2 linked regions of the Lytechinus pictus genome follow. The protein of the gene in region 1 interacts with the protein of each later gene in a pairwise test. Links are inferred from orthologs where the notes say so. Each region holds a gene or a part of one and is shown in the gene's direction. Other genes may lie near its edges.

Region 1 (3,758 bases):
CATATTAAGGTGCTAGTATAGAGTGACAAATTTCCTGAAAATACGGATTTAAGCAATATAGAAAAGTTGTTGAAGTTCATGAAATACACAATAAAAACGAATGTCGACCTTTAGAAATAGCACCGAAATACTTCACATCCCCGATCCCCTTAAAAAAAAGGAACCTTGTTGAGATTCGAACCACGAAAGCTTAGATGCCTACGTATTATGCACTGCGCCGCGCTCACCTATTCGCTCGTCGTAGTGAAATTAAGATTTATATATACCGCGTAAAGCTTTACCAACAAAAAAAAATCCGGGACGGGCGCAAAACGCACACATATGAACACACTTCGCTTCGCGAAGCACTGTACACGTGTGTTCATATGTGTGCGTTTTGCGCCCGTCCCGGATTTTTTACTTAGACGAGCGGTATTAATGGCGGCTGGGCATATTAGCTAATATGGCCGCGAGTTGTCACGTGATCCTCGCGAGTCTCGATCTCTAGGCTTATTGTTGAAGGCTTTATATTGGCCTTTATTCAAGGCGTTCATTTTGTTATAATTTTATAATGACGCTCATAACGAAATCAGTGTAGACGAGTCTGTGCAGGGGCGTAACAAGGGTATATGAATAAGAGGGGGCACAGCATATGCCGCGTGTGTAAAATAAAAGTTACGTAATGTAAGTCCCGAGTGAGCAAAGCGAGCGAGAAAAAGACTTTTCATGAGAATCTAACTTTGAGATAGATTTTGACAATGATCATATTTTTTCCTTTCCTCATTTTCTTTTTATTCTTGGTTGCAGAACATTTCGGCGTCATGGGCCAAACCCTTGTTACCCCCCACATTTTGCTAGGGGTCCTGGGACCTCTGGATATTACTTAACCCAATTTAAACCTTACAGAAGGCCGCGGTTTTAATCAAATTATTGTTTATCCAAGAGCCGTTTCGGATCGATACCCCCATTTTAAAACCAAGATTTAGTTCCAGACCACCGGGCCTATTTTCAAATTTGGTGTGGCACAACTCGGTATTGTTATTATTTGAGTAGCCTCCCCCCTGCTCCCAGGGCCCTTGGCCATAAGGACTTTTTGTCCTGATTGCGACTGTTATTGCATACAATTTAGCAATCTTTTTCTCTCCATCTTATCTTTTCTGTTCTTGTTCTTTGACATCCAATCCTATTCCTTCTTCTTCATCTTCTATCCACCTTATCTTCCTCCTCTTTTCTTCCTGTTCTCGTTCTTTTATCTCTTACCCCATCCTCCTCCTCAACCCTTTTCTCTTCACCATATCTTCCTTCTCTTTTCCTTCCTGTTTTTGTACTTTATATCTCTTACCCTTTCCTTCCTTTTCTTCCATCTGTCTCTACTCTGCTCCACTCTACCTCATCATTTACAGGATGGCGTTCCCTCCCCCTGGCGAGCTGGAGTATGGACCAGCCCATGACTTTACCAATGAATACCACAGCCTCGGTGGTGTGCGGCCTCCGATGATGGTAGAAGGGGGCTACGGACCAGAGGATCATGGCGGCCCACCCGTCGTGGAGGACTATGTCAATGGTAAGGTCACAAAATTGTGAGGGGAAAATGATATCTCTTTCATTTTTTTCACTTTTCCTTCCAGAATTTTAATATTTTCATGACAAGCACCTTTTCTATCGGGCACATTTTAATATTGCAGCACATATGGGAAAAATAAAACAGGACACATAAAATATTCAAGGCAAGTCTAAGGGACACTGAGGCCAATCGATACGGCATCCAACCATGGCCCTGGATTGATTTATGCCCTTTCATTCTTTTTTGTGTGTCAGGTTAGAGCTTTGAAATTCATATTAAATGCATGCATCTTTTAAAATGAAAATATCACTCTTATAATGATAAGAAAGTGTCAGTGTTCCAATGATCATTTTGCAAAATGCAATAACTTTCAAACTAGAATACATCTATAGGACTTTAAGCCCGAGATTTTCCTCAAAAGAGTTCTATCATTTATGAACTCCAATATTCTTGAGTTCAAACAGAGGAGGCCATGTTCTTTATGGTTGAGGTTGAAATCCATGGTCTGGTATGGCGTATACCTGGCTTGATCTGCATTAATGTTTTAAGAATGTGCACAGCCTCGACGACGGTGGTGAGAACCTCAAGCCCAGGTTAAATGAGAGTCCTCTCCACAGTTGTGATAATGGGTATCCACCCTTTCCTTTCGTTCTTCCACCAGGGAGTCACAGTCAACTTCACATAGGGAACAGTGGGATGTACCAGGAGCTCCGGAGTGTGATGGTGGACGGGGGCGACAGGTTTGGGGTCTCCACCATCATGGCTGATACGCAAGAAGAACTCGTCTGGGTCGGAAACCAAGGGGTGAGTGAAGACAGCAATTGTTTCTAAAGCTAATGATGATGATGATGATGATGAGGAGGAGGACGGTGATTATGATGAGGAGGACGATGATGATCAATTAGGATGATGATGATGGTGATGGTGATGATGGTGATGTTGAGAATGATTTTGAGGATGGTGTTAAGAATGTTCATCGATGATGATGATGATGATCAATGATGATGATGATAATCCATATTATGACGATGATGTCATTTTGACCCTGGGTAGTCACCTTAGCTTCTTATGTTATCCCATTAGGCCCTACACAACTTCATTTTATTATAAATCTCCTCCATTCTAAAATACTGAACAATCATCCATTTGTCATTTACCCCAAGGGTCACGTGACATCATACTACGGCTCCCAGATGCAAAAGTACACATCATTCCAGGTACACCCGACCAACCCCATCCGAGACATATCCACCTTCCCTGGCGGTGTCCTTTCGCTCTACAGCAACGGCCTCCGCTGCAATGCCAGGCAAGGCACGAGAGTGTTTGATTGCAAGTAAGTCCAGGGTCCTGTTACACAAAGTTAAGTGATTGATTGTAGGTCCGATTTTTTTATGATTCAATAGATACATTGTGGTCAATGCATTCAATCGTAGAAATTTGTTCTAAGATCATTGCCAAGCTTAATACCGGTCCAGAAGAAATTGTAAAAAAAAAAGAGTGTTTGTTGAACAATTACTTTGCAGATATGAGACATAGGCAGCACTATTTCTTCGGTGCCTGTCCAGCAGTGATGGGGTTGTCAAGGTCAACATCTTGACCTAAGGTCATCATAATATTGCAAGAGCAAGATCATATTTCATAAGACTTGGACAAAAATGTATGTACAGTGGACAGTCATTTGATTATCAGAAATTCAACACTACTTCATGTACTATATTGAACTTAGTAATACCAGCGAGACTGCTTGGAGCATTCCAATTGTTTTTGTTTTCAATTATCCATCATTAAAGACACCTGACATATCTTCATGTGGCTTAGTTTGAACTCTTTCCATATGCAATCACATGAAGGATGCACTCGATTTGATATTTCAAGGCACCACACCAACGTTTTTCTTGGTTAGCCCGATCGGTCCACCAAAAATCATCAGTTTCATATTTTTGGTGGCCCGCAAATCAAATTCGGTGGCCTGCAAATCAAATTTGGTGGCCCTGAAACAATAGAAAACATTACAAATTATCAAAACTTTGGTAGCCCAACAGGGCCACCAAGTCTTGGCTTTCACAGAATTTTGGTGGCCCGACTCTCAATTTTCATGTAGGTTTCCCTGGGCCTCTGGGCTATTGCTCAAGTCGAGCCTTGGATATTTACTAAAATTCCTGTTGAAACACTGTATACATGTACATTTACCGGTATGTATATTTGTGCTGCTCTA
Region 2 (3,758 bases), on another chromosome or scaffold:
CCAATATCCGCCCGTAGCCTTTCTCTCTCTGATCCAACAGAAACACAAGACATGATAAAATTGAGGGAAAAATCCCGCCCGTCACCATTTAGCAGAACATTAGTGCCCCTCCCACCCCCCCTTTCTCGTTTACGTACCCCATCTACGGTAGACTAAATTCATTATTATTTTTTACGAGATCGTCAATGCATTTTTATGTGTAATAATTGAACTACATGTATGAATGGACGCTCCTCCTCCGTAATACATCTACACATATGGAAAATTTCAGGTTAAATTCATCGCTTTCGGGAAATGCCATGTTGACTTCACCGCCATTCAGGACTACATAGTACCAAGATAAGTGGGGAAATGTTGTGATTTTGTAAATCCAAGGAAGATAGCATCAAGAATTTAGGCGGTGGAAAAGTGTCGCATCTCACCGGCTTCGATTCGAGTGGCGTCAACCCCCATCCCCATCAGTGCATAAGTCATTAGTGTTGGAGCGAATGTAAACAGCATTGACTTGAGCGAGCTGACCTGAGCAAGTGCAACTGGCTGTGTCTGTGGTGCCTGAGCTGAGCTGTGCCTGTGCACTTGTGTTGCAGTTGGTGAGAGTACAGACTACAGTTCCAAGCCAAGGACAGGATTTACAGAACTGGATCTCTTCAGCAGGGCTTGACTGACCTCAAAATCACAGTATTTCTGAAAATGAAAATGAGAATTGACAGACATGATGTGCATTTTTTAATTTGAGCATCTTTTGAAGTTCTGTTAATGTGAATGTCTGTGCCAAGATCGCAGAGCACAGCCATTGATTCACCTCTATCGACTTCATTCTAAACTAGGCTAACTCAAAAACTCATCTTTTAAACACAAATCTCAGTCACACTGACACAGTCACAGTAAAAACTCGAGATGGATCGTAAGTGTAAAGTCTGGCACTTCTTTAGTTTTTAGCGATGCATGCCTTGCTCTTTGACTTTGCTAATAAAGTACATGTAGGAGAAAAATTTGGGCCAAATTGTGTGGTTGATTTGTACGCACGCACTTGGATCTAAAGGGGATGGAGGTAGAAATGGAACCATGTGCATGACTGAATACAGCACTGCTGTACAAAATGATGCACCGTGGTTCCCAATTTCTTGATAGTGCCAATAAATTATTTACCCAAATTGTGACTCTTGCAAAATTTATCAATTTTATTTCATATTTTTAATGAAAATGTTGCAACATGTATGAGCTTGGAATGTCTTGAAAGGATTCAAAATAATCCTTTATTTTGTAACATTCTAATAATGTACCATATAATGTACTAATGTACCATATATGAATGCTTTCAGATAAATTGATAATGATACGGGCCCTACATGTAAAATATCTATATTATTGTTTAGAAATAGAATATCTGGACTTGCCATTTATTCATCTGCATCATGCCAGTGATTCTCACTAACCAAATTTGTAAGCAAATCCGAAAAGGATTTCGGGGGCTTATCAGTTTTCAGTGCAAGTCACTATTTGCTCCATGAAATGCTTTCAAGCTAATGATGATTATCATCAGAATTTGATCGTTTCAAGAGTATCATAACTATTCTGTTAATGAAGTTTTGTCACTTTGTTATTATTTTTTATATATATGTAATTGATCGTCACCTATTGATTTCCTTAGCAATTTTCTTATTCAGATATCCATTGAATATGTTTATCAATTATCAAAAAATTATATGGGGGGCTTGCCGGCTCGTGGTAAATTTGCCCTTGAAATACCAAGCAGTGTACACTGTACAGAGTCTGGAAGAGTAATAAAAAGAGTCACAGAAATTTCCATAGGGTCCAATGTAAATTGTCAGACAATGTAGGGAAATTGGGCTGGTGAGTTCAAAAGTAGCCCTGGAAGAAAAGAAATAAGTATTTTTCCCAGTGTCAGTAAATATAGATGAAATATTATGAATATTAAAGAGAAAATTTTCAATAGTGGGTGGTAATGCAATCAGCTGGCCATTGGAATTTGTGCTACAGGAATACAGCTTAAAGTTATAAACAAAGTTGTGTTCAATATCATGTAAATGTATCCCTGGCAAGTCAAGTTCTTCAATATTTTCTTTTTATTGTGAATTTTGACCTTTACAGCCTTCATATTTTCATTTGTTTCTAGTGGCAGACTCTCACATGGCACCAGATCAATTTGTCACTGCTTACATGTAGAACTTTATAAAGAGCAATGCCTTACACTGTACATAAACTACATGTATTGCCCATCCCTTACAATTGCCAAGATTACTTTTTGTCCAAACAATGTCAGTATTCCTGTTGAGGGAACATCTATGTAGGAAATACATGTATCTGTACACGAAACAAAATTTACACTCCTCACAGCCCCTTTGCCTCTAAAATTTCACAATTGAATGCTTCGGGGCAATCTTCCAGATTTGCCCCCAAATCTGCCACAAACAATATTCAAGAATATATTGAAAATAATACTCCGTATACCGGCAAAATGAGTATGAATGAAGATACATGTATTTGTGTTAATACTGCTGTGCATTTTATAATTTCTTGAGAAAATAACTAGCCGGCAGGCCTAGCACCCCCCCCCCCCCCACGAAAAAAAAAAAAAATCAAGCAATTACCCGGATCTGAAAATCAAATTGAAATTAGAAAATTTGTTCCTAATTGTGACTGTTGATAGAGATGAGTGATAATATTTAACCTTTGCAGCTTTATATTTTCATTTATTTTTTTGTTTTTTTAGTGGCAGACCCTCATATGGCACCAGATCATTTCTTCACTGCTCCGTTTGACAGTGACAACTATGGTCCACAAACCAGCAAACTCCAGCATCTTATGCAGGTACTGTAATAATGATCAGTCCACAGACAGTTAAAAGGATTCTTATTGATACTAATTTATGAAAATGTTTATTGCTTGTTTGTTTGTGGCGGTTTCTTTAGTTATTTTGAAAATAAAATAGATTGCATGAAAATATCAAATGAATTTACATCACTTTGATTAATCGATGTGATGTTTAGCTATAGCTTAAATGCGGACCTTTCTTATTGCTTTACAGAAGCTTTCATGAGAAAATGAATGGTAAACTTTCATGTTCAAAAGTTATTACATGCATTTGTCACACTTGTAATTTCTAACTGGTGCTGCCTTTGGAAGGCATACATGTATGTAATAGAAGAATTGAATTGAAAAATGGGAAGCAATAATCATAGAGATATTCAGCCCCTAAAGTCATTTTTTTATGTTCTCTTCATAAATATACTTGACATTGTTCGAATTTTTATTGTTTTAAAGCGATCGCATTCAGTGGGATCGAGCCTGTCAACATATACGGGATCACCGGCATCGTCAGCACCAAGCGGGCAAAAGAGAGACGAAACGCCCATTTTCCAACCAGGTTGGTTGCCCTTATTTATTTTCCATGTTGATTCCTTATACTGTACCCTATTCTCACCGGCAAAGTTTTCCTGAACCCCATACTATAGGTAAGGCTAAATTACATTTTAGCCCCACCTAAAGTCTGGAGTTCAGCTTAGCTTACTGGTTTAAGGATAGTATGAGGTTGATGATAGTCCGGGTTTAAGAAAATGGTGTGAGAAAAGGTATACCGTATTTAACAGTACTCGGACTGTACACTGTATGCATCACAAAGCGTAGTGTGTGATTTTAGGGCTGATTTTTGTGCTTGGTTATTAATATTATGCGCAATCAATTGTGCAAATCACAATGATTTATCAATAAGCTTGTGCAATAGGGTCTGTAGAATA

The links. The genes of interacting proteins can lie anywhere in the genome.
Region 2: the proteins of PAN2-PAN3 deadenylation complex catalytic subunit PAN2-like (region 1) and PAN2-PAN3 deadenylation complex subunit pan3-like interact in binary tests that used the Drosophila melanogaster proteins (3 or more experiments, as listed by UniProt). The link is inferred for Lytechinus pictus from reciprocal best matches to the Drosophila melanogaster genes PAN2 and PAN3.

What each region holds. Positions count from the first base shown.
Region 1 is NC_087257.1:8,240,967-8,244,724, reverse strand, and holds the start of PAN2-PAN3 deadenylation complex catalytic subunit PAN2-like, read left to right. Parts: upstream 1-1,363; 5' UTR 1,364-1,383; coding exon 1,384-1,543; intron 1,544-2,204; coding exon 2,205-2,347; intron 2,348-2,706; coding exon 2,707-2,876; intron 2,877-3,758. UniProt on the Drosophila melanogaster protein: Catalytic subunit of the poly(A)-nuclease (PAN) deadenylation complex, one of two cytoplasmic mRNA deadenylases involved in general and miRNA-mediated mRNA turnover.
Region 2 is NC_087249.1:48,655,029-48,658,786, reverse strand, and holds the start of PAN2-PAN3 deadenylation complex subunit pan3-like, read left to right. Parts: upstream 1-813; 5' UTR 814-897; coding exon 898-904; intron 905-2,734; coding exon 2,735-2,832; intron 2,833-3,285; coding exon 3,286-3,388; intron 3,389-3,758. UniProt on the Drosophila melanogaster protein: Regulatory subunit of the poly(A)-nuclease (PAN) deadenylation complex, one of two cytoplasmic mRNA deadenylases involved in general and miRNA-mediated mRNA turnover.